Diceros bicornis minor: one gene and its partners. The protein of the gene in region 2 interacts with the protein of the main gene of each other region in a pairwise test. Links are inferred from orthologs where the notes say so. Each region holds a gene or a part of one and is shown on either strand. Other genes may lie near its edges.

What was found.
Region 1: the proteins of RALBP1 (region 2) and GSE1 interact in binary tests that used the Homo sapiens proteins (3 or more experiments, as listed by UniProt). The link is inferred for Diceros bicornis minor from reciprocal best matches to the Homo sapiens genes RALBP1 and GSE1.
Region 3: the proteins of RALBP1 (region 2) and REPS1 interact in binary tests that used the Homo sapiens proteins (3 or more experiments, as listed by UniProt). The link is inferred for Diceros bicornis minor from reciprocal best matches to the Homo sapiens genes RALBP1 and REPS1.
Region 4: the proteins of RALBP1 (region 2) and TSFM interact in binary tests that used the Homo sapiens proteins (3 or more experiments, as listed by UniProt). The two-hybrid records come from large-scale screens. The link is inferred for Diceros bicornis minor from reciprocal best matches to the Homo sapiens genes RALBP1 and TSFM.

What each region holds. Positions count from the first base shown.
Region 1 is NC_080771.1:34,077,642-34,084,605, reverse strand, and holds the start of GSE1 (genetic suppressor element 1), read right to left. Parts: upstream 3,007-6,964; 5' UTR 2,582-3,006; coding exon 1,166-2,581; intron 1-1,165.
Region 2 is NC_080755.1:7,477,735-7,485,615, reverse strand, and holds the start of RALBP1 (ralA-binding protein 1), read right to left. Parts: upstream 3,005-7,881; 5' UTR 2,923-3,004; intron 2,676-2,922; exon of another isoform or gene 2,121-2,675; intron 1-2,120. UniProt on the Homo sapiens protein: Multifunctional protein that functions as a downstream effector of RALA and RALB. As a GTPase-activating protein/GAP can inactivate CDC42 and RAC1 by stimulating their GTPase activity.
Region 3 is NC_080762.1:23,088-30,823, reverse strand, and holds the start of REPS1 (ralBP1-associated Eps domain-containing protein 1), read right to left. Parts: upstream 3,012-7,736; 5' UTR 2,776-3,011; coding exon 2,623-2,775; intron 1-2,622. UniProt on the Homo sapiens protein: May coordinate the cellular actions of activated EGF receptors and Ral-GTPases.
Region 4 is NC_080756.1:11,214,062-11,222,012, forward strand, and holds the start of TSFM (elongation factor Ts, mitochondrial), read right to left. Parts: upstream 3,018-7,951; 5' UTR 2,990-3,017; coding exon 2,891-2,989; intron 2,679-2,890; coding exon 2,505-2,678; intron 1,901-2,504; coding exon 1,772-1,900; intron 506-1,771; coding exon 383-505; intron 1-382. Other genes in the region: EEF1AKMT3 (EEF1A lysine methyltransferase 3), read right to left, coding at 4,764-5,155. UniProt on the Homo sapiens protein: Associates with the EF-Tu.GDP complex and induces the exchange of GDP to GTP. It remains bound to the aminoacyl-tRNA.EF-Tu.GTP complex up to the GTP hydrolysis stage on the ribosome.

The DNA of each region.
Region 1 (6,964 bases), on a different chromosome or scaffold from region 2:
TGATGTGTTCGTCCATGTAAAAGGAGAGGCCGTCCCACCAAAGCCCCCACAACAGCCTAAAGTCCAAAGAGGACGTGGGCAGAGAAGGAGCCCGGGTAGCGCGTGGAGGTGAGGGCTGGACACGAGGGGAGGCGGGCAAATCGTGGCAGGGTCCACTTTACAGGCACAACCACTGTGAGCGAACACGCAGCCCGGGAATCCCCACACACGTGCACACGCATGTACACACGGGAGGCGGCACCAGGGAGCTTTCAAACGGATGGAACGACCATTCCCGAACAGGCCGGAGACACCCTTCCCCATTCGCCGTCCCTCTGCCGGCCCCTCACCAGCGGCTACCACTCCGGGTATCTGTTAAAACAAGTCGGTCTAACCGGCTTTGGGGGATCACAACGCACGGACGTTTACTTCCCCACACCCACCGGGGGGAAGTTCCTGCTTTGGCCTTGGCAAATCTGGATCCAAAATTAACCGAGCCGGGTCTGGCTCCTCCCTGGCAGGCGGCCTGCAGGCAGGCGCCTTACAAAGAGGGCGAACCCAGGCCCCCCTGCCCTCCTCCGGCACAGCTGACTTGCAGAGAAGAAAGACATTTCCCACCGGGGGAAAAGTCTGTTCGGGCCACTATCCCCCGGGGCCCAAACCCCCACGTCTGGAAATCTGTTTCCATCTGCTGTTAAGCAACCACAGCGTCTCAAAGGAAAAGTGTGAACTTGGGTGGAAAACTCTGGAAAAGCTAAGCCACGCAGGAGCTAGAGTAGAGAGGAACTTCCACCTCAAACCGGGTAAGTGCCGAGACCTCTCCGTGACCTGTGTGGCTGGACTAATTACCAATGTTATCAGGCGGATGACAGACATGCCCCGAACTTCCTCCGTTTGACAGATTCTGCTGCAAACACCCTCAAGTTCAGGCCCATGCCTACTGCTCACAGGACCGCCCTATTCTTCCACAAGACCGCTCCTGGCCCCCCAACTCCTCAGAGCTGGCACATGCCTCCAAGTTCAGCCAGGCCAACATACCCACCAAGTGCCAGACCAGGGGGGGCACCTCCTGCTGGAACGCACGGCTCAGAATCAGTGCAAACTCCTCCCCAGCAGAGGAACAGAAAACAACGTCTCTTCCTTCCCTGTGCAGATTTCAGAGCAGGAGATGAGAACTGCTGCTTACCTTCATAGCCGCTGCCACTGGGGAGCTCCAGCCCATGGGTCCCTGGCGGGTAAGTCCTTGGCCAGCACACACCAGGGTCCCGCACTCCACGCAGGCGCCAATGATCAGCTGCCGCCCGTCGTCCACCAGCAGGCTGTGGCTGGCTCGCAGGGTGTAGAGAAACAAGGGTAGCCGGGCAACCCGCACGGCCTTCAGCCCAAGACATCGCTTCTTCTCCTGCTGGCAGAAGAAGCACACAAACGTCTCCACCTGGTACTGCCGAGACCAGGCGCTGATGGTGTGGTGGGCACCGCGGGCCTCGTGCTGCAGCCACTGGCCCAGCAGGTCGTGGTAGCAGAGCACACAGGTGGACACCAGGCCGGTGGAGTCGGCAGGCCTAGCGCGCGGGGCGGGCGGGTAAACAGTGAGGAAGGGGAAGAAGGGCTCCTTCTCGCCCAAGCGGCTGGAGGGGTTCACGTTGAGCTGGAACTCCCTCCCGGGGCCCAGCTCAGCCCCGCAGATGTAGCAGACGGACGCCGGGCCGCCCTGGACCGACGCGGGTGGCTCGGAGACGGCAGGGTCCCAGGCGGAGAAGGCCTGGTGGTACCGGCCCAGGAAGCCTTGCACCGAGGTAATGAGCTCCTCGTTCTGGCAGGCCCGGTACAGGGCCCAGACATCCTCCAGGACGCTGAAGCACTTGGGGCAGCTGCGCACCTCGCAGCGCTTGTTGGGGCCCCGGGCGTTGGGGGGGCAGGGCAGGAGGCTGAGGAAGGGGAAATGCATGGAGCCCCTGGCGTTGCCGTTGAGGATCCTGGAGGCCACTGCCCGGGCATCCTGGGTACAGTCCTCCCCGCAGAGGTAGCAGGCCTCTGGCAGGGCCCCAGCCGGCAGGCCCTCTTCCCTCGGGAGCCTCCTGCCCTTGGAGGCCATGCCGGGGGCGTGGCTGTTCAGGGGCACCACGTACAGTCGCTGCAGGACAGGCACGCGGGCCAGCTCGAAGCTCTGCCACTGCTGCATGAGGGAGGAGAAGCAGCATGAGCACACCAGGGTGCTGCCACCCTCGCTGATGGGCTGCGCCCCGGGGGGCGGGCTGTGCAGCCACAGGAAGGGGAAGAAGGGGGCCTGGGCCAGCCTCTCCTGCTTCTGCACGTGGATCTGGTGCTGCGAGGCTGGGGACAGCGTCGACCCGCAGATGTAGCAGCAAAGGCCCTCTGGTGGTGCAGGCCGGCCCTCCAGGGGAGCCCGGGGGACGCGGCCACCACCGTTCTCCGTCTCTTTGGGGCCGCAGGAGCCCGGGAGAGGCTGCTCCCTGCCGTCCTCTTCCTCGCTCGTGACGTTGATGTCACTGTCATCAGACACGCAGCAGCCTCCTCGGGGCTCCCCCAGGGGCCTGCCCTCGGGAGTCTTGGCGGCCCTGCCCGACGGGGCTCCTTTCATGCTATCTGCAGGGGCCACCCGGACTGGAGGGTCTTGCCAAGGGTCCTGGATGCCCCTCAGGACGCTGGCTCGGGCCTCAGGGACCCAGTGCCTCCCAGCGCCCTTCCGCCGGCGCCGAATGCCGGTCTTGGGCTCCCCGTCCACGTGTAGCTTCGAGGGGACCCCCTCCTCCTCCGCGTCCCCCTGCGCGGGGGTCTCCGCGCCCTGTCCCGGAGGGGGTACCGGCGCCGGCCTCCACTCCTGGCAGCGGCCCCCGAGAGGCCCCGGCCCCGGGGTGGCCCGCGCCGCCGGCGCCCCGCCCTGGTGGGGACTGGCGGCGTCACGCGCGGTCGGGTCGGGCTCCGAGAGGGGGTCGGTGTCCGATAGCTCGGACAGCTCGGAGTCTCGAGTCTCCTCGGCGGCCGCGCGGGGCCCGGGGACGCCGCCACCGTCGTCGTCGTCGCCGGCCGCGCCGCCCAGCGCGTAGGCGACGTTCCACTCGCGGGGGGCCCCTGCGCCCCCGCGGCGCCCGCCCGCGCCCGCGTCGCACTGGTGGGGCCGCTTGAGCCAGTACATGCGCTTGTCCACGGGCGTGCGGGCGCGCTCGAAGGCCGCCCACTGCTCGCCCAGGAAGCAGCGGCACACGGCGCACACCAGCACGCAGCCGTCGGCCGGGGACAGCTCGCGCGCGCCGGGCGCCGGCTCCTGCTGCTGCAGGAACGGGAAGAAGGGCTGCGCCGGGGCCCCTGCGCCCGCCGCCGCCGCCGCCGGCTGCTTCACCTGCAGCTTCAGCTCCTTGCCGCGCCCGATGCCGCCGCCGCAGATGAAGCAGGAGAGCGGCGCGCCGCCGCCGCCCGCCGCCCGCTCGCCCACGGCTGCCATGAGCCGCTGCTTGCGGGAGACCAGCGCCGGCCGCCCGCTCATGGCCGCGCCGCGCCGCCCGCGCGCCCCGGGCCGCCCTCACCGCCCGCCCGCGCCGCCGCCGCCGCCGCCGCGCCCAACTTGGAGCATGTGTGCGCGCCGCAAAGTTTGGCGGCGGCCGGCCGGCGCGGGCGCGGGCGCACGGTCGCTAGCAGGGGCGCCCCCCCGGCCTGCCGAGCCCCCGGCGGCGCCGCGGCGAGCGCGCCCGGAACGCAGCGGCGGCGGCGGGCCCCGGGCGGCTGGAGCGGCGGCCGCATGTGCGAGCTCCGGCGCCTGCCAAAGCGTTGGGTCATTTAATTGGGGAGGAGGGAGGCGGGGCGCGGGCGGCGCGCGGGAGGAGGGGGAGGAGACGGGGCGGGAGGCGGGAGCACGCGGGCGGGGGAATCCCTCCCTCGCGCGCCCTGCTCGCCGCCCGCCCTCCTCCTCCTCCCCCCCTCCTCCTCCCCCCCTCCTCCTCCCCCCTCCTCCTTCCCCCCTCCTCCTCCCCCCCTCCTCCTCCCCCCTCCCCCCGCGTCCCAAACTGCGCACAATGGCTCGCCGGCTCTTCTATCTATTTTGTGTCCAGCCGGGAGCCGCGCTCGATGATTCATTGCCCCAATTAGGGCCTCTCTCCAGCGCGGCCGGCTCGAGCCGTCTGAAGGGTCTCCTCGGGGACCCGCGGAACCCATCAGCGGCTAGAGCTGCTCTTTAAGTAAAGGGCAAGCAGGACGCGGGAGGAGCCAGGTAAGGACGTGGCCGGCGCCCCCCGGAGACAGAGGAGCCGGCGAGGAGCTCTCCGAGGGGCGGCCTCGGTCCAGGAGTAGGCAGGCACCCTGTCGATTTCGGTCGAGTTGCTCCGGCCCCCTCCCCCTTCTAAAGGGGGGACCGAATGAGGAGCAGTTGCAGCCCTGAGCTGCCTTGGGTTGGGGGCACTTTTCAGGGTCCAGTGGTCTGATTTTGGAGACAGAGGGAAGAGGAGCTGTCCCCCGTCTCCTGGAACACATTGGTGAATGCACCATCCGGGGGGGCAGAGGCCTCAGCCTCCACACCCCTCCTGGCTGCTGGCAGAGACGGAAGGGATCCTGTGTGTGCCAGGCTCTGTGTTCCAGGGCAAGTGACTCGACGACTCTGGGCCCTTTCCTCCTCTTGTTAAACAGGAGTTCTGGCAGGAGATTAACAGTTTCCACATATTTATTGTTTATGTGTATACATACGCTGTATTTATTGAACACAGAGAGAGACCTTAGCATGTGCCAGGTGCTATTCTAAGCACTTTATATATACTCGGGGTTAAGCGCTGTGATCAGCCCATTTCACAGATGAGGAAGAGGAGGTGCTGAGGGTTGTTACTTTTCGAGAGTGGAGGAGCTAGGATTCAGACCCAGGCAGCCAGCTCTAGGCGCCTGCTCTCAACCCCCTGGCTGTGCAGCCTCACTACGCAAACATCTGGCCCCCGTCACTCCATCTGCCCATGGAGACTCTCCAGGGCAGGGGACATGGCCAGGATCCCTCCGTCCTTCCTGCTGCTCTGGCTCAGGCTGGGAGGCCTTGGGGGAATCCAGGCATCTCTGGGCCTCACATTTCCCATCTGTGAAATGCCACCCCTCCCAGCTTCAAACTTCTATGAGTCTGTGATTTCTGAGCAGTTGACAGCTGTCCCGACTTGCCAGCTGGAGCCCAGAGTCAGCCTGGGGACAAAGGTGCCAGGTGGGCCCCTCTACCCTCTGGGGCATTGATGTATAAATAAAACTAGGCTTCCTCTGGCCCGGAGGAGGGCCGTCATTATAAATAAACGGAACAAGAGAAAGGGGCCACCTCTCTGGAACCCCTGGTGGAATTCCAGGGGTCACAGTCCAGGGGTTAACAGCAAAGTCATCACCATCATCACCAGAAACTCGGGGACTGCGGGCCCTCACCCAGGCCCAGAAAAAAGCTGTGTCAGCAAAACTATCTGGAAGGAATGTTGGGGGCAGGGCGAGGGGGTTTCCCTGCTTCTGGCATTTTTAATACCTGGTGAGAGAGGGGCTGATTAGGGAGCCTTTACAGGGTGAGGTCTGGGTAACTGTGTCCAGCAGAGCTATCAAGCCCACACAGACCACGAGGCGGCTGCTAACGTGAAGCCGGCTCAGGAAATGCAGGGCGGCCTTGGGGTTGCGTGGGGCTCCCTTGAGGCTTGGCACATGCCGTTCCTTCTGCTTCACGTGCCTTTCCAGGCTCTCTTTGTGAAGCCAACTCTGGCTCATCTTTATGGTCTTGGCTACAATGTCTTCCCCCAGAGGATTCCCTGCCTTCTCCATCTCAAGCAGGTTCTCCTTGTTATTCTCTGTCTCTGTTCATTGGCATAGGAATTTGTCATTGCTTTTATTTATTTTTCTGTCGACTGTTCCCTGTCTGCCTCCCCAGGAGCCTGGGTGCTCCCTCCCCCTGGGCAGGACCCAGGTCTATCTTGCTCACTGTGTGTATCCAGGGCCTGGCTTAGTCCCTGGGTCCCACACTGCTGGGTCCCAGTGCTGTGCCGTCCCTCTCTAGCTGTGGGCGCCTTGGGCAAACCTCTTAGTTCCCTGAGCTTCAGGTTCCTGCTCTGTACAATGGGGTCATGGTCCTCATCGGATTTGTTTGTGTGCATCAAATGAGGCAGAGAGAGGGCGATGCTCTGGGCACAGGGCCTGGCACGCTGGAGGTGACAGTGTGTGTGTGTGTGTGTGTGTGTGTGTGTGTGTGTGTAGACCCTGCCTGGCTCTGTCCAGTGGCTGAGGAGGTTCTGCTATGCCTGTCTGCACTGCGAGTGGAGGCGGGCACTGTGATGAGGTCCCACCAGAGTCTAAAGGAGGAGAGCCACAGCGGTCGACAGGACAAAAGGGGGGAGTGGAGTTCTCTTGCTTAAGCTGGGGTCATCCTTGAGGATTCCCTGAGTATGTGCCACGTGTGTGGAGGTGTGTGTGTGCATGTGTGGGTGTGTGTAGATATTCGTGTTTGTGTGTGCATGTGTGTATGCATCTGTTACCGTGTACGTGTGTGTGCGTGTGCCGGTTGTGTACCTGTGTGCATGCATTCATGTGCACATGTGTACATGTGTTCACGTGTGTGCATATAAAGTGGGCTGGGACCCGGGGGAGAGAGGCTTCCAGCTGGATGTTTTGTTTCCCTCAATGACCCGGTGACTCAGGAAAGTCCCCTGGCACACTTCTCGGGAGCCAGGAAGCAGGTGAGCACCGACCAGAGGAGGAGGAAGACAGGGGAAGATGGTTGGTTATCTGTGGGTGGATGACATAGGAATGGGGCCGCTGGTGCAGATTCACATCACAGTTCTGCCAGTTACTAGCTGTGTGGCCTTGGCCTGCTATTTAACCTCTCTGAGCCTCAGTTTCCCATCTGTAAAACAGGACTCACAAAACCCCATAGAGCTGGGGAGGATGAACTGAGACGACCCAGGTGAAGCACACCCTCTGGACACAGAAATGACAGCAGTGTTTGTGCACGTCGGCTGAATGTTAGTTGCACACA
Region 2 (7,881 bases):
TTCAGCTACCCCCTATAATATAGCCGATGACTCTCCTATCAAGACCTCTGTGTTGTACTCCAAACCCCACACCAACTCTGTAGTAGATGTTTCCACCCGGATGTTCCACAGATAACTCCCACTCAATATACCCACAAGCTAAAATACTGTTCCTCCTCAAATTTGCTCCTCTTCCTGAATTCCCAGTCTCAGTGTACTTTCCTTTGTCTATTCAATCACCCAAGTTAATATCCAAGTCATCTTATCCTACCATTTCTCCCTCACTCCCCACATCCAATTGTTACTAAATCCTATGAATTCTACCTTCTAAATATTTGTGCTATTAACTTACTCCTCTGGATCTCCACTGACACTGCCTTAGTTTAGACCCTTGCCTCTCACCTCAATTTTTACAAAAACTTCCTAAGCAGTCTTTCTGCATCCTGTGTTATCTGCCCTCCTTCCCTTCTGTAATCTATACCCTATAATACTGGAGTGATCTTTCTAAAATGAAAACCTTACCATGTGTCTTTCCTGATTAAAATCCATAAACTCTATTATCTATAGAAAAAAACCTCTAAAACCCTTAGAATGGCATGCAATACTTCTGCTACTTACCACCATAACCCCAACGCTACGGCTATAGAGAACAACTTCCCATTCTTAAAAGTGTTCCATACTCTCTCTCATCATGCCCAACTTTCCCTCTGCCTTACGTGCCTTTCCCCCACTTTCTGCCTCAGTCATGCCTAAGCTTTCTTTAAGTTTAAGGACATAAAGTATAAGGAATCTAATATAGTACCTGACACACGACAGGGAGTTAAAAATGGGTCGAGCTGGCTCAGGTCTCTCTTCTTTATCCTCTCTCACTGGCTCCTATTTGCTTACGAGATAAAGCTGAAATTACTTCGACTGTATACAAGACATAATTTGGTCTCTGCCTACCTCCCCAGTTTCATGTCTTGCCACCACCCTATACCCTCAGGAGCTGCACTTGCAGATCCTACAATTCACTCTGTAAGTTTAGATGCCAGTGTAAGTTTGCTCACACTGTTCCTTCTACCTAAATGCCCATCCCTTCCATTCCTATATACACTTACTGTTTTCATCACGTCCTATTATAGTTTGTCCTTACCACTGCCCCTTTCCTCAATCTCCTCTTCCCTCAAGAAACTGACCACTACTGCCTTTGTATACCCACTGTACTCCCATACTTTCTCCAATCAAAGCAATCCTAAAAACGTATTGTAGTTGTTGACAGTTCAAGTAACAAAGTCTTACCACCCTGAAGGCATCTTTAAGTCCTGTTCACCTGGCACAGTACCTGCAACACAGTAATTCCTCTCTACCAAACGATCTGCATTTTTCCTTACTCCCTCCACAAATACTAACATAAGCTTCTATCAGGGATTTTCTTTCAAAAAAGAACAAACATACTTTCAGGTTACGTTCTGGGCCCAATCTCTCCTTACAAAGCAAACAACTGTGCAAACATAACTGTACAAATTAAAGTTAATATGCATTTTCTAATACCATTTCTATTTTCTAAATTAGGGGAGAAATGGTCCCTGAAAGGTCTAAAATGAGAAATAATGTCTTCAAAAGATAGCAAATGAGGTTATGGCACATTGCTTCAAGATACTTTGTTTAAAGAATTACTTCTCAACAGTTACTGTTAAACTAGCCTACACCACTTGGAGTACGGGTCACTCTGAAAAGTGGGAACCACTCTACTAACTTCCTTCCTACCCCTACTACTGCCAATACAGCTTACCGGCATTATTCATTTTCAAGAAGAAACACAGAAATGAATTATCAAATCACCAAGACAGTTTGAAAGGCTAAAGTGAGGTTATCTTTCTCATCCAGAGTCCCATTTATTCATTAGAAGTGCTGTCTCCGTGATCACCAAACCAAAAGTGGGCCTGTCCCTTATCACCATTTAAATATTTTGTGAATAACTGCCAAGTATGATGGAATGCTACCCAAAGTGCTGCAGCATTGAACATGCCCACTGCACTAAACAAAACATTCAGGGAAAGCTCTTCCAATGAGGCCAGATGGTGTGTTAACTCAATGTCCAAACGACTGTACTTCTTTTCAGGCACATTCAAAATATCTCGAATTAACATTTTAATTACCTTAAAGAACTCCACTAGGCCTTAGAGGAAACATGTTGCTTGCTCAAGAGGGAGGCTCTGTAGGAATGAATCCCAAAACTTGAAACAGCCTGACTTCAGGTAAGACTGAGGTGTGGAATATTTTGTAAAACCTGTTTTACCCTTACAACGATTAAAAAAAAACAAAAAAAACAAAAAAACCCTGACCTCAATAAGAGCATTTTGGTACAAGTATACTTGAAAATGAGTTGTGAAACGAATTCTCAACTCCAGATCTGTCCGTCCATTCGCACTGAAACCTGAACTAAAGATCGCAGCACCCAAAGGAGCCCCACTGTTCCACGCCAGCGAGCGCTGGGCAACATCAAGCGCCTTCTCCTAGTCCACTGGGCAAGCACTGGACACGGGTCAACATTCCGGGTGCGACTGGAAAATAGTACGGTTACATAAAAGACGGAGTCCCTCTCCTCCGTTCCGGTGCGCCCAAGCGCTGCCCTGAGGCCTGCAGACTCGGGGTGGAGGGCTCGGTTCCTGACCCTCCTCCTCCAGCCCCCGAGAGCACCGAATCGCAGATGCGATGCCATGAGGGGGACCCGGCCGGCAAGTGGGAGGCACGGACGGCAGAAGAGCGAGCACCGGGGAGAGAGCTGCCCGGCAGGAACCCGCACTAGGGGCAGCCACGCCCCCCACCCCAACTCCAGCCCCGCGCGCCGCGAGCTCCCAGCCCCGCACGCTGCCTGACAGCCGCGGCCGCGGAGAGGGCTGCCCCGGCACGCGAGGGGCATCCCGCGACCCCCGCACACCGCCGCAGCCCGTCACCGACCTGTGCCTGCAGCAGCGCGACCGCCCGCCCCCGCCGCAGCCGCCGCCTCCTCGCGCTCACGCTGCCGCCGCAGCCACCCTAGCCGCCTCCTGCGCTGCGCCCCCGACCGGCCTGGGGCGCCCCATTCCCACCCCGCCCCAGCCTCCGCCTGTTTACAATGATTGGGACGGAACAGAACGAGCCGGCCCAGCACGCACGCGCATTCCCTCCTCCCGCCGCGGTCGGCTTCCCGGGTCCTCCTCTCGGCGCTGACGGCCATGGCCCGCAAGGGCAACGCCCCGTGCCCTCGCGCGGAGCACACTGGGAGGCGTAGTTCTCGGAAACCCAGCGCCAGTCTACGGGAACGCCCTTTGTCCAGAAAGTGCACTACAATACCCAGGAGGCACCGCGCCTCCCTCGGCCCCAAGTGCTCTCTGAGGAGACTGAGGAAGCGCGCCACAGAACGCGCCGCCAGTGCTTTACGAGCGCCTGCGCAGTTCCTGGTCTTGGGGGGCTGGGTGGGACGTAGGTCTAGCCTGAGTGAAATATCGCTGAAGATGGTTTGGGGGCGGTTCCTGCGGTGGTCTTGAGAAAGAAAAGAGCTTTCCTTTCCATGCTCGGGCCAGCCTGTTCGTCAGTTGCCGAAGTTCAGACCTTTTGTGCCAGCGGGTTTCAGTCGTCCTAACCAGTTAAACCAGCCTAGGAGGCCGGACCAGCTTGCTGCTGGGTGGGGCATCCTCCTGGCCGAGTACTGGGTGGGGAGTCTTTTGCTTGTGGTGGGGATTCCTTCTTTGAGGAGGGAGGGGAAGCGCCTTGGGCCTCTGAGTACGGGCTAGTATAAAACTGTGTGCTGGGACAGCCTCAAAATTCCTAAAATGGGTGTTGACGAGGGCCCGCTTTGGTTCTTGCGGTACGGCGGGACTGCTGTCTTCCATCCCCTCTTTGGCTCAACACTTACAAAGCAACACCTGAATTAGAACTGCCTGGGCGCATGTTTAGCTTGCAAATAGAACTGAATCACGAGGAAGACTGGAAATAACTGGATTTCCTCCAGAAATCCTTCACAAAGGCTTGAAGAATTGTTCTGCTAATGCATGGCTGGAAATCAGGGGTCTTTTGAAGTGTTCTTGTTTTATAAAATTTGTCCAGTTATTACGGGAAATACAATTTGGGATAGATGGTCCTTCCCATCGCTTCCATTCCTAGTGCAATACTATCTTTAGAACTTCATTAGCTATTTAGATTGACCTCTGCGATCCATCCTGCACTGTACCTCCCAGATCAGCTTTCCTTACATTTGACAATAGGCCGTTCCCTTGTACTCTGCATTTCCTACCCAGTAAAGTTCAGCCCCCTCAGCCTGGCATTCAGGAGCCTGCCACAATTAGATACCAAGATGGTGTGTGGTAGCCATTGTTTTCTGACTGCTTGATAAGCTTGCTTATTGCCCTTCTGGCAACAGAACAGTGACCTCGGACCACTGGGCTGGGCGTGTTCCCGTGCCAGTTACAATACACTTTGCCTCTGGCAACACTAATTGGGCTAACAGATAGGCACTGATCCAAGTTGGGGCGTTATTGAGCCCTTGCTTAAAATGCTATATGGACACAGAGCAGGGAGGGAAGAAAGGTGTTTACTGAGATAGCTGCTGATTGCCATGTTCTTCACAATATAAAGAGGGCTGTCTACATTAGGAATGAATGAAGCCAAAGGGGGTAGTCGGGTGGGGCGGGAATGGAAAGGGAGAGAAACCAAGAGATGGCAGCGTGAAGACTGGTTTCAGTTTCAGAAACCTTGAGTTTTGTATAGCTTTTCTATAAGTGCTTGGAGTCTGTGAGCCTAGCTGGGTGAGCCAATACATTTATTTATTTATTATTTAGGGCTAATTTGTGTGGTTATAGAACATATTTGTTGGTTCTCTCCTAAGCATTCATTCTTCCCATTAACCCATGCAGCATAATCCTTCTCTCTGGTAGCTGAGAGTTTCAGAGATGGTCATAGAACCCATTCAGAACCAATGAGCCCCACAGAGACTTGAGTTGGGGTTTCTAGTAAACAGCAGCATCCTTACTCTTCTAGTATGGCATAAGTATGTGAGGTCTGGAAATGTGGCAATCTTTTGGCTCCTACAAGGAGAAAGCCTGAAAGGATAGGGTTTAGGGGAAAGGCACCAGTAGAGCCTGAAGATGAAGTCAATGCTGTCAAATGAGTTCTGGAAAGGAGAACCTTGTGTTTGATGGCATCATTAGAGCTGTGCTATCAAACCTCACCTGTTTGACCCATCCTATAGACTGTTTACAATTGTGAGCCATAAATTTCCTGTATTGTTTATGCCAGTTTGTATTGGGAGTTTTCTGTGACTCAAAATTCTAAAAGTCCTAACTAATTCAGTTGGATTTTTTTACATGACATTGAAAGATCCTAACTAATACAAGTTCCTACTTAAAAAGAAACTATGGAAGAGACTTTCAGCTATGGCTATGTGACATGGTCAACAATTCCTCTGCACACAATACAAGTATAAAACTGGACAAAATTGTCAAAAACTACCGTTTCAAGGCACTGGAAATCAAACAGAGACAACAATTTGAGAAACATCTATTCTTGAAAAACTGCTAGAAGTTCCAGTAGGAACAGTAGATATCCATGATGTTCTTGCCGGCTTCAATCCTTCTCTGTTGCCCCATAACTATAGTTTTACCAATGTGGGTGGGGCTGGCTAAGAAAACTAGCAGCTTTGCTACCAGAGAGGATGGACTCAATTTGTGGTGAGAGGTAAAAAACCCATGGCTTTACCGGCTGGACGGACTGTAAAATGATGCATCTGCTATGGAAGACACTATGATCGTTCCTCCAAATATTAAAAATAGAATTACAATTTGATCCAGCAATTCCACTCCTGAGTATATACCCAAAAGAATTGAAATCAGGCACTCAAAGAGATATTTGTACATCCATGTTTGTAGCAGCATTATTCACAATAGCTAAAAGGTGGAAGTAACCCAAGTGGCCACTAATGGATGAAAGGGTAAATAAAATGTGGTATATACATATAGTGAAATATTATTCAGCCTTAAAAACAAAAGAAATTCTAACTCACGTAAAACAAAAATCATGAAAACTAAAGGGAGAAATTGATAATTCAGTTATGGGTGGAGATTTCAAATTCCTGTCTCAGCAGTTGATAGAACAAGACAGAAAGTCAACAAGGGTGTAGAAGACCTGAATTACACTGTCAACCAACTTGAAATATTTGACATAATGTAGGAAACTCCATCCAACAACAGAATAAACATTCTTTTCAAGCACAAATGAAACATTGTCCAGAATAGATCATACAATAGGCAGCAAAACAAGTCTCTGTAAATTTTAAAAATATTGAAAACATACAATATGTTCTCCTTCCACAATGGAATTAAATTAGAAATCAACAACAGAAAGGAATCTGAGAAATCCCCAAATATTTGGAAATTAAACAACGCATTTCTAAACAATCCATGGGGCAAAGAAGAAATCACAATGAAAATTAGACAATATCTGAAACTGAATGAAAACAAAAATACAACATATCAAATTTAAGGGAAGCCGCTAAAGCTGTGCTTAGAGGGAAATTAATAGCATTAAATACTAATATTAGAAGGAAGACAATAATCTAAGCTTTCACTTCAAGAAGGTAGCAAAAGTGGAGTGAATCAAACCTAAATTAAGTAGAAGTAAGGAAATAGTGATCAAAATAGAAATCAATGAATTAAAAACAAGAAAATAGAGAAAAGGACCCAAAAGCTGGTTCTCTGAAAAGATTGAATTGATAAACCTTTAACTAGACTGACTAATAAAAAGAGAAGACACAAATTACCAAAATGAGAAATGAAAAAAGGGACAACGCGATAGACCTTACAGAAATGAAAAGGAATATTATGAACATCATAATTCCAATAATTTTAAAAATAGATGAAAATGGAGGCATTCCTAGAGAGAGAGCAAGTTACCAAAACTAACTCAAGAAAAAAATACAAAATTTAAATAGACATATATCAGAGTAAAAAACTTGAATCGGTAAATACCAATCTTCTCACAAAGAGCCCAGGTCTGAATGTCTTCACTGGTGAGTTCTATCAAATATTTTAAGGAAGACAAGAAAACTAAGCCTATTAATAACACTGTTTTAGAAAATAGAGAAGGAGCACTTCCCAATTCATTTTATAAGGCCAATATCACCCAGGGACCAAAACCCAGGACACCACAAGAAAATGGAAGTATAGACTGATATCCTTCATGAGTTATACACTTTAAAACGGTTGGTTTTATGGTATGTGAATTATATCTCAATAATGCTGTTATTTTTTTTAAAGATATGGGAATTGAATAAAATATTCTAAAAACAACCCCACCCTTGGATAAACAGAGTAAAAGGATCCAATGCCTGTTGCCTCTATTCTTTGGACTGGCACCTGAAGTTTGATCCCTAAACTGTTCACTGGGTCAAAGCACTATTACATAATTGAAATGTCCTATTTTTATATATTTAAAAGATATGATATTTAGAGCTCATTACAAAAACAAGTGGCAGAACTGTATGAGTTTAGCTTTGCTCTTTGTGACAATTCACCACACAACTTAGTGGCTTTAAACTATTCCGCTGTTCATGCAGTTGTAGTCAGTTTGTGGGTTAGGTGGGGGTTGGGCTCATCTGCGGCAGTTGGGATGGCTGAGCTTCTTTCTTTAATGGTCTCATCTCTCAAAAGCCTAGCCTGCATCCTTAGTGCACAAGCACTTTTCAAGTGTTTGTGTGTCATTTACTGATGTCACATTGGGCAAAGGCGTATCACACGCCAAGCCCCAGATTTAAGGGATGGAGAAATAGATTCCTCCACTAGATGGGAAGCACTGAACAGAATTTGTGGCCATTTATTTGCAATCTATGACAAGAACTCTTGACTCTCCTTTGCTCCTGAAGGAATGATTCTATATCCTCCAAAG
Region 3 (7,736 bases), on a different chromosome or scaffold from region 2:
TCTCTTTCCAACCCTATGTTCCATTATCCCCAAAACATACTCCAGCTTCAGCAAAACTTGACCTTCTGCTAGTCCTTGAAAAGGCACCTACCCTTTCCACCTTTGGTCACATTTTTTCTCTGCCTAGAAGTCCTCTTCATTCCACTGCCCTCCCCCCACACTAACTGAAAGTCCATCTGAATTAAGAAGCCTTTCCTGATCATTCCTCCTGTGTGCCTCTCTTAGGGCATTCCTGTTCTGCTTTATGTTACACACCTGCATTCCTGCAGATCACCAAGTCCTTCATAGTAGCCCAGTGCTAAGTAAACATTATGTATGAGTTGCCCCAAATGTTTCCCACTTAGAAAGCAAAAGGGCTATGTTTTCAGACAATCTCAAACTTCCTTAAGATAACTAAGTCCATATTCCCCTTTTGTCTCATATTCTATGTCTTAGGCCAATTTTTAAGTAAATTGCCTTCAGGATACCCAGAATGCTATTTAGTATATATTAATTACTGTAAGAGTTCTGCTTCAGGGAGTTCCTACAGCTTCCACCTTGTAACTGAATCCTGAATATTTATGCTATTTAAGCTCTCTCTTTATACAAAAAAGCCATAGAAATTTATTTTTGAATGTCAATAAAGTTGAGCAAAACATAAAAATAACTTGGGTTCGAGTAAACAAATTTCAAGCAAAGGTTAAGTAATGCTAATTTGTCTATTCCTAAATAATACATTTAAAGTCCTAAAGTCTTCGTGCACCATTAAAAATAGGAAAGTCAGTTTATTTCAGCTCCCCCCCACCCCAAAGACATAAACCAAAATAGAACATGAAAGTTTCTCCTTAATTTTAGTTCCTAAATGACTTGAAGGTATGTTTTGTTATTTCTACAGAAAGAGCAGTATCATTAATGAGCATGTTCTGACCAGACCTCTTTCTGCGAGTCTGACTCCAAAGCCATATGAGGAGAGTGTAGCACCCCCATACTGCCACCACCGTTCTTTAGCAGGGGTCAGCAAACTACAGGCCCTCTTTTGTATGCCCCTGAGCTAAAAATGGTTTTTAAATTTTTAAAGTGTTGTAAAAACAAAGAACTGTCAACAGAGACTGTACGTGGCCAGCAAAGCCTAAAACATTTACTCTCTGTCCCTTTTCAGCAGCATGAATTTGAGACTCCTAGCTGTTGGTTTGTAAGACATCCAACTTTTCCTCCCAAGATTTTAAACAAGCAATACCAAACATGAGATTATGCGAAAGGTGGAACTCATTTGACTTAGAGTTAATGCACAGGTAACTTTTAAGACAGAGACCTGGGCGGATATTTTTGTGCTTCACACAACTTTTGTTAGAAGGAACTTGACTCTCATTCTAAGGATGAGCAAGCACACTTATGTGCCTAGCTTAAAGTCACACTAGTTAACCACAGAGTGGGATCAAAACTCCTGATTCAGCGCTCTCTGCAGTGCACTACATCATACCTGTGCATATGGTTTTAAGTTTTGGAGGTTTGGATAGTAACAAAGATGAACGCTTCAAACCTGTTCCTGATACGCTGTTTAGACCGACTCTTACTAGCATTAACATTAAACAGTCACATTAACGCTCACCACATATATTAGATAAGAACTTCTAGGAAGCCTTCTATTTTAAAAACCGATGTGACACAAAAAGCTTACAACTTACTCTGCTTGCTCCTCTAGTGCTACAGACCCAGGCGAAGGTGCACGTTTGACTTCCAGCTATTCGTTACTTATCTCCCAGCCCAAATCCACAGGTTCCACCCAATGTTATCGAACGCCAATCGAAAAACTGTCCAGTTTACATCAGCCACACCTTCCACAGTTAATTACAAGTTCTTTTCATATCTACTTGCAAACTACTAGCTAGAAATTCAAATTTTTTAATCTCTCTAAAATTTAGCTTCCTTAAAAAAACTGCTTCTACGATTCCTAAATCTATAAAACCCACTTTACGGCGTCTACTCGGTTAACTCAAGCCTTAAAAACATTTACCTATACTGATAACCTCACTACCCTGCAGGATTCGAAGAGCTATGTATGTAGTACCAGGACCTAGGACCCAAAAATACGGTAACAACTCCAGATCCTCCATCTGAAGTGGCTCTCCCCGTGCTGAAGAAGAGACTCGGAGGGCAGCCGAGAGAGACAGGATCCCCATTTTCACTCAAGACTTTTGTCCCGCGAGAGAGACCCTCTGATCGCGGCTCGGCGCGACCCGGCCGCCCGGCACCTGCGTTCCCCGCGCGGAGCCCGGGGACTGGCCCCCCGCCTCCCGGCCGCAACCTGGACCTGCTCCCCCCACCCCTCGCCCGCACCTGGACCGGCACCGCCCCCCGGCCGCACCTGGACCTGCTCCCCCCACCCCTCGCCCGCACCCGAACCGGCCCCCCGTCCCCCGGCCGCACCTGGACCTGCTCCCCCTACCCCTCGCCCGCACCTGGACCGGCCCCCCGCCTCCCGGCCGCACCTGGACCTGCTCCGCCCACCGGTCGCCCGCACCTAGACTGTTCCCTTGCCTCCTGGCCGCACCTGGACCGGCACCCCGACCCCCGGCCGCACCTGGACCTGCTCTCCCCACCCTTCGCCCGCACCTGGACCGGCCCCCCGGCCCCCGGCCGCACCTGGAGCACCACGTCGTGCGGCAGCTGCGCGGCCCGGAACAGCTCCAGCACGCGCCCGTTGGCCGCCACCTTCTTGGTGCTGTCGATGTCGCAGTAGGAGAAGAGGTCCGCGTAGTACTTCTGCTCCGCGTCGCTCAGCGTCAGGCCCTCCATGGTGAGGCCGCGGCCGCGCAGGCCCGGGAGGCCGCCGCCGGAGGCCCGCAGCCCGCTCGGCGGTCGGGGGCGGGGGGCGCGGCGCGGAGGGCGGGCTCCCGGCGCCGCGGGTTCGAGCCTCCCGGCTCCCGCCCTTCCCCTCCGTCCGCACCGGGGCGCAGCGCCTCCCGGAAAGCTGGTGGCTCGGGGCTACAGGCTCGGGGGCTCGGGGCCGCGCGCCGCCGCCGCTCCGCCTCCCGCCGCCGCCATTGACGCGCCCGCCGGCCGCCGCGCGCCGGCTGACAGCGGCCCTAGACCCGGATGTGAGGCCGCGGCGGCGCGGGAGAGAGCGCCGCTCCCGGGCCGGCGCAGCGCCCCCTGGCGGCTGAGCGCCCGCGGAGGCCGGGCGGGGGCGGGCGGAGCGCGTGATGAACGCCGCGCGGAAGGGGCGTCGTCCAGGTTGGCGCTGCTGCGTCCGTCTGCAGCCATCTGATGTCTGGTGCCGCGGAGCGCAGACGCCGTGTGTCCGTGTGCTCTGAAGACAGCACAGAGACACCGAGGCTCACCGCCTCTCCTGCTCCCAGCCGTGTTCACCGAGAAACAAAAGGTGCTGCCTGCAGGGAAAGCTGGCGCGGTTTCTTCCTCGTCCGAGCTCGTCCTGGTCGCCAGGACCGTCTAGCTTTGTACCGTCCCCTCGGAGCCTGGGCCGCCTCTGGCCGAACCCGGGGCTCCTGCCGCCCCTCCTTTCCTCCCCGCGAAAATCCTGCAGGTGCGCTGTTCCGTCCGCACCTGAGAGAGGAGCATCCCAAGTAGAACCTCTGAACCGGAGTTTATACTTAGCAAATATGAAATGTTTCAGAAACAGCTGCTAAGGCAGAATTATACAGATTTTTCCGTTTGAGTTTTTATTCTGTCTTCTGCGTGTTGCTCCCCAGAGCGCTGACCCTACAAATGGCCCTTGGGAGGAAATTATTCTAGGGTCACAGTCTTTTATGTGGAAATCCAAAATTCAGAGAGCACTGAAAGCCCAAAGGTTTTTGTAACACTCCGGCAACAAAACCCGCCCTGCCTCATTTGGAGGCAAAATCTCAACTAAACTCTCATGAGGCTATTTGTGGTCTTTATATGTGCCCGTTAGTGTCAATATTTATTCATTTACTCCAGGCCGTAATGGGATGTAAATATATACAGTCATAGGCATTGTATTGCTTTGTTTTTTTAAAAGATGAGGGACTGTGGAGCTGTATTTGCTAACTTGAATAGTAGCATTTTACATATAACATGCCGTTAATCTTGTTTCCCCATCTCTAAAGCTTTCAGTTTGCCACAGCGACCCCTCACATACCCCCCCCAGGACACCTACCAGAGGTGATCAGAGCCCCACAGGTGGCCTGTTTTCCAAGCACATCGGGCTAGAGATTGGCTCCCAGTTGCCCTCAGCATCTTTTTCTCCACCACGTTTCCTAGGCGGTGAAGCTCTTCCCCGCCCCAGGGCCTTTGTTTCTGCCACCTGAGATGGTCCTCTCACAGACTGCTGCAGTCTTGTTCTTTCTCACCTCTCAAGTCCCTGTTCATAAGTCACCTCCTCAGAGAGACCATCCCTCAACACCTGATCTAAAATAGCCCTACCACCACGCTGTATCCCATTCTGAATTATTTTTCTTTATAGCACTTTTCACTACCTGGCATTAACATGTATTTGTTTACCTTTTAAAATTGAGATAGAATTGACATACAACATTGTGTTAGTTTAAAGTGTACAACATAATGAATTGATATACGTAGATGTGAAAAATGATGATCACAATGTTTGGTTAACATCCATCACCACACGTAGTTATAATTATTTTTTTCTTGTGATGAGAACTTTTATGATCTACTCTCTTAGCAGCTTTCAAATATACAATGCAGCATTGTTAACTATAGTCACCATGCCGTACATTACATCCCCAGGACTTATTTGTCTTATAACTAGAAATTTGTACCTGTTTATGTTTTTAATAGCTAACAATTACTGAGTGCTCACCATGTTTCAGGCACTGCGCTGAATCTGTAATTACCACATTAATCACAACAACCCTGTGAAGTAGGCATTGTTAGTATTTTTATTTGACAAATGAGGAAACTGAGGCACAAATGGGTTAAGTGATGTATAAATCACATTGTTATTAAGTGGATCTGGGATTCAAAACCCAGGCAGTCTCAACTCCAAAATCATGATCTTACAGTGCCTTTCTTTCTTGTTTATTAAGTCCCCTGGCTACCATCCCTGGATTTACCAGAAAATGTTTGTTCATTGCTGTAGCTCCAAGGCTCAGTGTGTGGCACATAGTGCTCATCAAGAATTGTTTGTTGAATGAATGAATGAACAAATGGTGCCACCAGCCAGTCAATACCCTAATCTCCCAGTTTGGCTCCTTTAACTCAAGCAACCTCCAGCTCCGTTTCTCTTTAGCAACCTAGAATAATTACAGGATTGCTTCACTTCCAAGTCTGGAATTCAGAAATTTGCTTCTCAGTCTATAATGCACTATACTTTTAGTCTCTCCTCCATTCCTTGAATAAGCTGCTCATTGTCACCTTCAATTTCTCCTCTCTCCATCCCAACACATATTTCCTGTATTCAAAAACACACTTTGAGCATCTTGTGCAGGTATAAAACAAGTTATATGATCGTCTCCTCAGGGCTCATCCAGTCTGGGGACCTTGTCAGCATATCGAGGGAGCTCTGCTGGCACCTGGATTCCTCCATATGTTGTCCTTCCCCCCACCCCGTGCCAAATGCTACACTGAACTGGCCACACCGAGTATGTGTGTTCAGCACGGACGTTGAGGGGCCTCTTCCTGCGGTCCTGCTGCTCTGCGAGGCTTTCCTGATGTACAGGAACAGGGCACGGAGTAGGAGCTTTCCAAGCTGAGGACAAAAAGTCACCAGTACCACGTGTTCTAAAGACAAACAACAAAGTCGGGCCCCCTCCCCTAAGCCACAGACCCACTCCCCAGGGTGAGAGAAGAGTCCTGAACACCAGAGCCTCTCCAAACAAACACACATTCCCTGTGAAGGCTGGAGCTAAAAACGTCAGGCCTGAGCGAAGGGGAGACCTTCCCAGCCCCCAGCTGGATAACAGGCGGGTTTCGTGCTGGAGGGTCTGACATTTCACAAGTGAAAGAGATTTTCCTCTATATCTGTCACTTATATTTTCAGGTATGAAGGGAAAGAAATGATTTAACACACAGGCCCTTTGAGGTCAAGTCTAATTTCTCTCCTATATGTTTCTAGACATATAAATTTTAGAAAGTGACATCATGAGAAAGCTATTTTAAAACAGATGGTCTATATTCTATAGCTAAAAATTTAAAGATGCTGGTTTTCAGGTAAGATCAAATAGTTGGTTACTGCCAGCAAACATCAATTGTTTTTTAACTGGAAATCTTTAATTAAGTTTTTAAAATTAATTCAATTCAGTAAAATTCATTGTTTCTGGTATATAGTTCTACAAGTTTTGACAAATGCATTTGGTCACGTAACCACCACCAAAACTGAGATGCAGAACTGTTCTGTGACCTCCCCACAAAATTCCTTGTGCTGCCCCTTTGTACTAACTCTGCCCTCTACTCTTGGCCCCTGGCTACCACTGATTTGTGTTCTGTTTCTATATTTTTGCCTTTTCCAGGGTGTCATGTAAATGGAATCATGTGGTATGCAGCCTTTTGAATCTGGATTTTTTTGCATAGCATAAAGCTTTCGAGATGCTTCCATGTCCTTGCTTGTATAGTGGTTCACCTTTTTATTGCTAAATGGTATTCTATTGTGTGGATGATTAGAGTTTGCTCATCCATTCACTAGTTGAAGGACATTTGGGTTGCTACCAGGTTGGGAGGTTATTTATTAATGATAGGTTTTTGTGTGAATTTAAGTCTTCATTTTTTTCTTGGGTAAATATCTAGGAATGGCATTGTTGGGGCATATAGTAAGTATATGGTTAACTTTAAAAGAAACTGCCAAAATGGCTGTATCATTTTGCATTCCCACAAGCAATGTATAACATTTTAGTTTCTCTACATCCTCATGAACCATTCTAATGTGTGTACCTCACTGTGATTTTAATTTGCATTTCCTCCATGATAAATTATATTGAGCATCTTTTCATGCATGTATTTGCCATCTGAACATCTTCTATGGTGAAGTGTCTATTTAAAACTTTTCCCATTTTTTGTTGGGCTGTTTGTTTTTTTATTGTTGAGTTTTGAAAATTCTTTATACATTTTTGATACAAGCCCTTTGCCAGATACATGATTTGTAAGTATTTTCTGCAGTCTGTGGCTTGCCTTTTTATTCACTTAGTAGTATCTTTGCAGAACAGAATTGTTAAAATTTGGCTTAAGTCCAACCCAGGGGTGGCCCTGAAAGACAATAGGGAGGCAAAACCCACTGGAGAGAGTTTCAGCTGGTGCACTTGGTCATTCACTTCACGTACAAGAGGTGGCCCAAGGCAGGAACGTGCATTGAACACACGGACAGTGGTGTGATTGGGCTGGCAGGACAGGGGCTCGGAAGATCAGGGAGGAGGAGGTCTGGGGTGAGATGGTGTGGTTGAACTTAGGGGAAGGGGCATGTGGTGTTAATATCTCTATCGTGTGTTCACGCCCACCAGAAAGTGTCCACTATGGAGGAGGCACAAGACATCCAACTGTACAAAACGACCTGGCAGGTTGATGTCAGGCAGCCTCTGCGACCAGCCGCCCCAGCTGGTGCCTTAGCTCAGGAACTTAATAGCTCACTGCTATGGAGGATTTGGAGTTAAGCTCTCCCTGCTTTCAAGGAGTGCTAAATTTTCAGTTTTTAATTAACAAGTTAATTTCTAAATTATCAAGGTCTATTGTGAAAATGCCACAGGAGAAGAAGGCAACATGAAGGGAGACAATGCCTCTGAGGGAAACAAGAAGTAGGAGAGGAGGGATTTCCCAAGGAGAGGGGCTTC
Region 4 (7,951 bases), on a different chromosome or scaffold from region 2:
ACAGACTTAATGAGTCCCAACCAAGTGCTGGGCCCACTTTTCTTTCACCAGAGACACAGTAGTGAAAAGACAAATTTCCTGCCTCATGAAGCTTATATTCTATTGGGGAAAACAGATAATATATAAATACATAAAAATGTAACACATAAGCATTATAACAAAAATTTTTAAATGAAGCAAAATAAGAGGATAGAGCAACAGGAGGAAAGGTATCCCTCTCCAAAGAGATCACATTTAAGTAGAGACATGAAGTAAGGGAGGGAGACATAAGAACGTCTGAAAAAGGGAAAAGCTGGGGGGTGGGGAGGGGACGGGACAGGACACACGATGACCATGGATGGGACGACAAATCCAGCATGCTGGAGACAACCCCAAAACTCACTTTACTGTACGTAGAGAGTTGATCCTTTAGGCTCTGACAATGCAACATGGTTCCAAGGGCTACTTGCTGGACCAACTGCTGAAATCTTAAATTTCTGGAAACAAAATCTGTCTCACAGTTTACCTGTGGGAAGAAATTGATGTTGCTGTATAAGCTGTTTACTGATAGTTTCCAAAAGTGCCTTCAAGTTGGAGAATAAACCAAGGTATTGATAGAACAAGCTACAGACTCAACAAAACAGAAATAATTGACTCTAGAATTTTTTAGCTGCAGTTCCTCTTGTAGCTTGAGGCCAGAAACTGAGTGAAGTGATTCCTGCTCTGCCAGTGAGTTGGCAATGACCCGCACATTCAGAAGATGTTTCCACAACGTCTCCAAGGGACTCACTATCGGTTCACCACTTGCCTGCAGCTGCACGCCAAAATCACCTCCAACCCCAAACCACTTTTGCTGTCAGCTTATCTCCTTCTCTCACTCTAAACGAATCCACATCTGAGTCGTTACCAATTGTGGTCCCTAACCCCTCTAAAACAGCTACCAGCTATCTATCAACTAATTAATATAATTCCTAGCTTTAAAATCTGACTGTTCCGGGGCCAGCCTGGTGGCGCAAGCGGTTAAGCGCACGCGCTCCGCTTCAGTGGCCCGGGGTTCGCAGGTTCGGATCCTGGGCACACACTGATGCACCGCTTGTCAAGCCATGTTGTGGCGGCGTCTCATATAAAGTAGAGGAAGATGGGCACGGGTGTTCGCTCAGGGCCAACCTTCCTCAAGAAAAAAAAAGGGGGAAGACTGGCATCAGATGTTAGCTCAGGGCTAGTCCTCCTCACAAAAAAAAAAACAAAAAACAAAAAACTGACTGTTCCAGGAAACAATCAATGATAAGGTGTATGGCTACACTAGACTCACATTTAGGAGTAATATTCTAGACTGCTAGACCTTTTCTCATCAACACACCTGTGCATTTCTATACCTAAATGAATCCACAGCTAATAACTGTGGTCACATGGGTTTCATTCCAACTGCCTTTTTTTTTTTTTTTTTTGGTGAGGAAAACTAGCTCTGAGCTAACATTCGATGCCAATCCTCCTCTTTTTGCTGAGAAAGATTGGCCCTGGGCTAACATCCGTGCCCATCTTCCTCTACTTTATATGGGATGCTGCCACAGCATGGCTTGACAAGCGGTGCATCGGTGCGCACCCAGGATCCGAACCTGCGAACCCCGGGCCGCCGAAGGGGAGCACGTTCACTTAACCACTGCGCAACCGGGCCGGCCCCCCAACTGCCTTTTATGGTTCTCAAACACCTCTTAAGAATGCAAAGGCTCTACCACAAAGCCTTGCACCCAAGGGACAGCTGCTCTTGGTATCAGGAATTCTGACAACTCACCTCTACTAACACCGACGTGTTTCCTTCCTGCAGCAGCCCAATCAGCCCTTCTTTAGTCTTTCTCCCATGGAGCTTGGCAGCTTTGCTCCAGCCCTCCTTCTGGGCCTGCTTATGGAGCCAGCTCTCTGCCTAGAAATTGAAAAGAAAAACGGCAGAATTTAAAACTGAATGGGGCTCTAAAATATGTTCAGATTCCCTAATTCTTCCTGCTTCCCCTCAATCCTATAACAGAAACTAAAGTAATCTATCATTTACTGGCAGCCTACCACTAAAGCCAAACACCAAACACTGTGCCTGCTGCTTTGGATAAGCTTAATCTTCACAACAACTCTATGGGGCAGATAGTAGTATTTTCATCATATAGACAAGAACAATGCAACTCTGAAAGATTAAGTAATGTTATCCAAGGTCATAGGGTTAGTGTGAGGGCACCATGATTTGAGTCCTGATCCATCTGACTCCAAAACTAATACAAGCCCTTTCAGCTCCAAGCACCAGGAAACAGCCCAGCAGTCTTGCATGAAATAGGGTTTATGAATCCTGGGAACTTGAGTCAACTGCTTCCAAATAAGACAGACTCAAAGGGTGAGGTTGTCACTTATGTCCGAATCCTATCTAGGGCTCTGCCGTTATGGGTCATTCGGCAGCAGGTCTGACTTCTATGCTCCCCAGCTACCTCCCTAAGAGACTGAGGTCGGGCCCTAGTACCGGCCCTGCTCCCCACCACCCCAACCTGTTTGAGATCTCCGCCACAAGTCTCCAGAGCTTTCTTGCAGTTTACAAAGGAGTAGCCCGTTTTTCGCCGCAGCTTCATGAGCAGCTCCTTGCTGGAGGCCGAGGATGACAGCCAGGACCCGGCGTGAAATGAGTGCCATGGCTGGGGCGACCGAAGCAAAAGGGGCTCCGCCTGGAAGGGGTAAGAAGACAGGGATGAGAAGCAGGCAGCTGCGAAAAGCCCCAGGGGTGGAGAGCACGCGGGCAGGTGGGCGACCTTAGAAGAGCCAGGAGCTCAAGGAAGGGGGCTGGACCGCGCAGAGGCAATGAAGTCGGGGCAAGGGAGGGATGGAGTCGAACGGGGGTTGGAGGAAGGGAAGCGTGCGTCCCAGGGGCCCAGGAGACCTGCAAGAAAGGCAGGTCGGTGCCGGGACGAAGACCCCTCCCCGGGCAGCGCCGGGGCCGCACGACGAGGCAGACGCTCAGCGCTCGCAGCAGCGACATCTCCTTGGCCGCTGTACACCGCAGCCGGCCGGCGCCCCGGTGACGTCACAGGCCGACGGCGTGGCGGCGGGGCCAAACCTCTTCCCCGGACGCGCCAGACGAGCGTGGCGCCACCTGCTGGCCGGAGGGGCACACTCACCTCCCCTACTTGGCTTATTGAGACTACGTGTCACAAGGAATTACCCCCATAGGTAAAATAACGCCAACCATGCGACAAAGTTGTCACAAAATAACAGTCCAAGACATGTGGTAACATTTTATGCTTCTTTATTTCCAATGCCCTTTCATATTCATCATCCATTTATGACTCATGACAAACTTGTGAGGTGGGAGGGGGGCGGTTCAGAAATTTGGCTAAGGAGGCCTGAGGAGGTAGGGGTGGAGTCCCTTCCACAAACCCAGTAAATATTTGCTGAATGAGCAAAATATTTGTTGCCCGTCAGCTGCGTGCCAGGAACTGTACTAGCCTTCAGGGGCTCAGGGAGGAGTAAACCACAGCCCTACCCTCCAGGGTAATCTAATGGTGAGAAAATAGGGAGCCAACAAATGACACACAAGACGAGGTAAGTCCCATAAGATGAACAAATAGTTAAAAGGTCTCAAGGGAGAAGGAAATCACATCCAAACAGGAGGCTCAGGAAAAGCTCTTTCCAGGAAAGAGGCTGAGAGTAATGAAGATTCTGACAGGGAGAAACAGCCCTTCCAGGCAGGGAATCATCAAAAAGAAGGAAGGAAGGAAGAAGTCAGAGGATCTTGGTACAGATTAGGGAACAGAGAGTAGACCTTCTGTAATTTGGCCAGAGGTTGCAACACATGTAGACACCAGCAGGCAATGAAGTCAAGGGTAATCTGGGTCACATGGGAGAGACTGAGACCAACCAGAGGAGCGTCTTTCTTCTGTAGGCAGCAGAACCTAATCACAGCTGATTCTGGAAGATCACAAGAGTTTGCAGTGTGGCTTGAAGGGAGAGAATGGAGGCCAGGAGGCCAGAGGAAGGTGATATGTGGCCCAAGGAGTACGTAAAGACAGCCCCAACCACAGGAACCACAGTGGGAAGGGAAAAGAGGGGAGGGCAAAAAACACTAAGAAGGAAGGACTGACAGGGCTTGGAAACCTAAAGAAAAATCAAAGAGGAGGAGAACCCAGTACTTAGTGATTAGGGCTTCAACTCTGAAAAGAGTGGAGAAGCTACAGTCCAAAGGAGAGCTCTGCTGCCGATCCCCAGTTCAGGGCTGGGAGGACGTGACCCAGTTAAAGCCATGGTCCCAGCAGACTCTATCTCAAGAAGCAAGAAGTGGGTGGTCTGAGGTTTCTTCTTCCCACCCCACAGCAAAAGTCTGAGTTCTTTGGATGCAGGAAAGATCTTTAATGCTCATTTCTTTCCCTTTAAAAAAATTCCATTAGAATCTGGTAAAAAAAAAAATCCATTCTGTATAAAAAGACAACAGCAGGACTGGAAGGGATCACTGACAGTCTCTGCAGCCACTGCTCTCACATCCATTTGCCTCCCCTACCCCTAAAAATCCTGGATACCCTCCTGTCTTCCTCCTCTGAGAACAGGAGCTGGGAACTTCCTTTGTGCTCTACCCCAGTGCTGTGAGGGCTCTAGGATTCTTAGCAAGCAGGCGCCTCCCTAAGAATATCTGGGGAAACAGAGAGGGAAGGAGGAAAGAGAGAGGCAAGGGAAATCCATACTTTTGATCCTGTTTATGGCTTTGAAGATATGGCAGTTTCTTCCTTAGGACAGGGGCTCAGAGGAGCAGAAGGGTGACGTCAAGCAGGTCTTGGTTCCCTGTGTCTGGCCCTATAGATGTTGACATTCTCATCCTCATCCCGCTGGGCCAGCTCCAGGTGGAAATGCTGGGGCAGGAGGTGCTGAAAGAAGCTCTCCGTCCTGTGCTCCTCTCTCATCTTGGAGGCCAGATAGATGGTGCCCTGGGGCCCGCACAGGTGTTGGAGGGTGCCCAGCAGCAGTGGAAAGGTGGGCTCCAGGTACACGATATCAGCCCCCAGCACCAGGTCATAGTCTCCAGGGAAGACATGCTGGTCAATCCCCCAGGACAAGGCGCGGACCTGGGCCCGGCCTCCAGTCGGCACATTGGCCTGGACGTTGGCCTGGATCTGCTCTAGGACCAGGGGCAGGTCAGTGATGGTAACATCCCCCCCTGAGAGAGAGGAAGGAGGAAAAATGCAAGTCAGAGGGACCAGCCACGGGGTCTCGGCTCCAGAGACCTCAGGGCCTAGAGGACAATGTCTTGACAGCCCGAAGCCCACAGTCTGGCTTTTAGTCACCCTAACCTCCATCTCCCCCACCACCGTTCTCATTACTCTACATTCTACAACATCAACATTCTCTCTGAGCTAATTTTCAACCTCTCGGCCCAACACACAACAATCATATGTCAGCAGAAGCCTGGGCAGGACTGAGCTGGAGGTGGGCTGTGCCCCCACCCCCTACTGACACAGACCAGCCTTCACAGGTCTGGAAAGCTTCCCAGGAGACATGACCTCGGCTCAGCCTTAAGGACAAGTACGAGTTAGTCAGGTGGAGCTTTCCAAATAGAGAACAGAGTACAAAGGCCTGGTGGTGAGAGCATGGTGTATTTGAGGAAGGCTGGATCTTAGAGGATGTGGAAGGGAGGAGAAAAGTGTCACGACATGAGAGTAAAGAGGAAGATCATTATGACATGCTAAGGAGATTCAGGCTTGATCGTGAGGGCAATAGTAAGGGTAGAAGCAGAGGGTGAAGATGATCAGATGAGCACTTAGAAAGCTTCATTCATGCAATAAATATATGTATTGAGCACCTACCAAGTTCTAGGAGTACAGTGGTGAGCAAGACAAAGCCTCGGCCTTCCTTGAGTTTTATTATAGAGGTAGAGACACACTAGGTACTGCAAAACGATTTAATCATAGTCACGACGACCATCATAGACACAGGAAGTACTAAGAATTCATTCATTCATTCATATTTGTTATGTGCCTATATGCCAGGTGCGGAGAATACGGCAGTGAACCAGACAGACAGGAATCCCTCTACTCATGGGGCTTACAGTCTAGTGGCAAGAAATGGACAAAAAACCCCAAACAAATAAAATACACTGTACATCAGATGGTAATAAGTGCTATGGTGAACGGTTAAGCAGGGAAGGATAAGAAGTGCCTGAAGGGCGGGGCAGGGAATGTAATTTTAAACTGGGCGGTTAGGGAAAACCTCACTGAGCAGATGATGTTTGGACAAAGACCTGAAGGAAGTGATGGAGCAAACCACGTGGATCTCTCAGGCTAAAATGTACCAAATGAGGGACTAGCAAGTGCAAAGATCCTGAGGCAGGAGTGTGCCTGGCAGGTCTGAGGAACAGCAGGAAGGCCAATGGCTGCAGCAGAGGAAGTGAGGGGGATAAAGTAGGGGCCAGATCCTAACCAGGGCCTTGTAAGGAGACTGTGAGAAAACCAGCTTTTAGTCTGGGATGGGAAGCTATTGGAGAATTTTAAATGGAAGAATGGCATAAACTGACTTATGCTCTAAAAGGATCACTCTGGCTGCTGTGACGAGAAAAGACTGCAGAAGGGCAAGGTCAGAAGCAAGGAGATCAGTTAGGAGGCGGCTGCAGTGACCCAGGCGAGAGATGATGGTGGTCTGAACCAGGGCAGAAGCAATGTCTAAGAAGTGTTCGGATCTTGATTAATTTTGAAGGCAGAGTCAATGTGATTTGCTGACAGATGGGATATAAACTATTAGAAAGAGAAAGAAGTCGAGGATGGCTCCAAGATGTTTGGCCTGACCACCTGGAAGACCAGATTGCCATTCATTTAGATGAAGAAGGCTGCAGGAGCAGGATTGAACAGGAAGATCATGAGTTCGTTTCTGGACACTTTACCTGTGAGATGTTCATCGGACAATCGCGTGAAGATATGGAGTAGGCAAGAGGCTACCCAAACAAGTCTGGAGAGAGAAATGGGAGAGCTACCGAGTCATCAGCCTATGCACTTAAAGGGCATTTAAAGCCAGGAGGTGATGGACTGCTTGGGAGTGAGTGTAGACAGAAAAGGGAAGAGCCCTGGGGCACTCAGATTCTCAGTTGTGAAGATGAAAAGGAACTTACAAAGGAGAATGGGAAAGAGAGCCAATGAGCTGGGCAGAAAGCAGAAGTGGTGCCCTGGAAACCAAAGGAAGTGTTTCGAGGAGGAGGGAGTGTCACATGCTGCCAAGTCAATTTAGGTGGGCTTATAACTGACCCCTGAACTTAACATGGAGCTGGAGACGAGGCTCACAACCTTGACTAGAGCAATGGCGTGGAGGGGCCACGGCAGGCGGTGGAGGTGGGGGTCTGGAATGGATTGAGGAAAGAATAGGAAGAGAGGAACTACAGACAGTGAGTATTAACTCTTTTGAGTTTTGTTGTAAAGCAGAGCAGAGAAATGGGGTGGTAACTGGAGGAATATGTAGATCAAGAGTTTCTTCTGAGACAGGAGAAATTATAGCATAATTATATGCTTATTTATACATATATATTATATATACACACATACATATATATGTGGAATGATCCAGAGAAAAGAAAAAACTGATAACACAGGAGAGACTTGGTGGGGGGTCGTTTGCTGGAACAACATCTCTAAGAGGTGAGAAGGTTCGGGGTCTCGTGACAAGTGGAGGGCTTGACCTTAGCTAGGACATGGCATGTTCACCCATGGTAACAGGAGAGAAGGCAGCTCATACAGACAGTTAGGTGAGCAGACGCTGTGATGGGAACATGTGGACATTTTCTGTGAGAAAAGAGAAGAGACAGAAAGAGACAGGAAACAAAGTCATCAGCTGAGGGTGAAGATAGGTGGGCTGGCAGCTGGAGGTTTGAAGGGCAAGAGGGTAAGACACACGTTTAGGAGGGCGGAAGAATGAGTGGAGGAGGGGAGGGTAATAGGCTTGCTAGGCAGCGCGCTTAAGGGCACACCTGAGG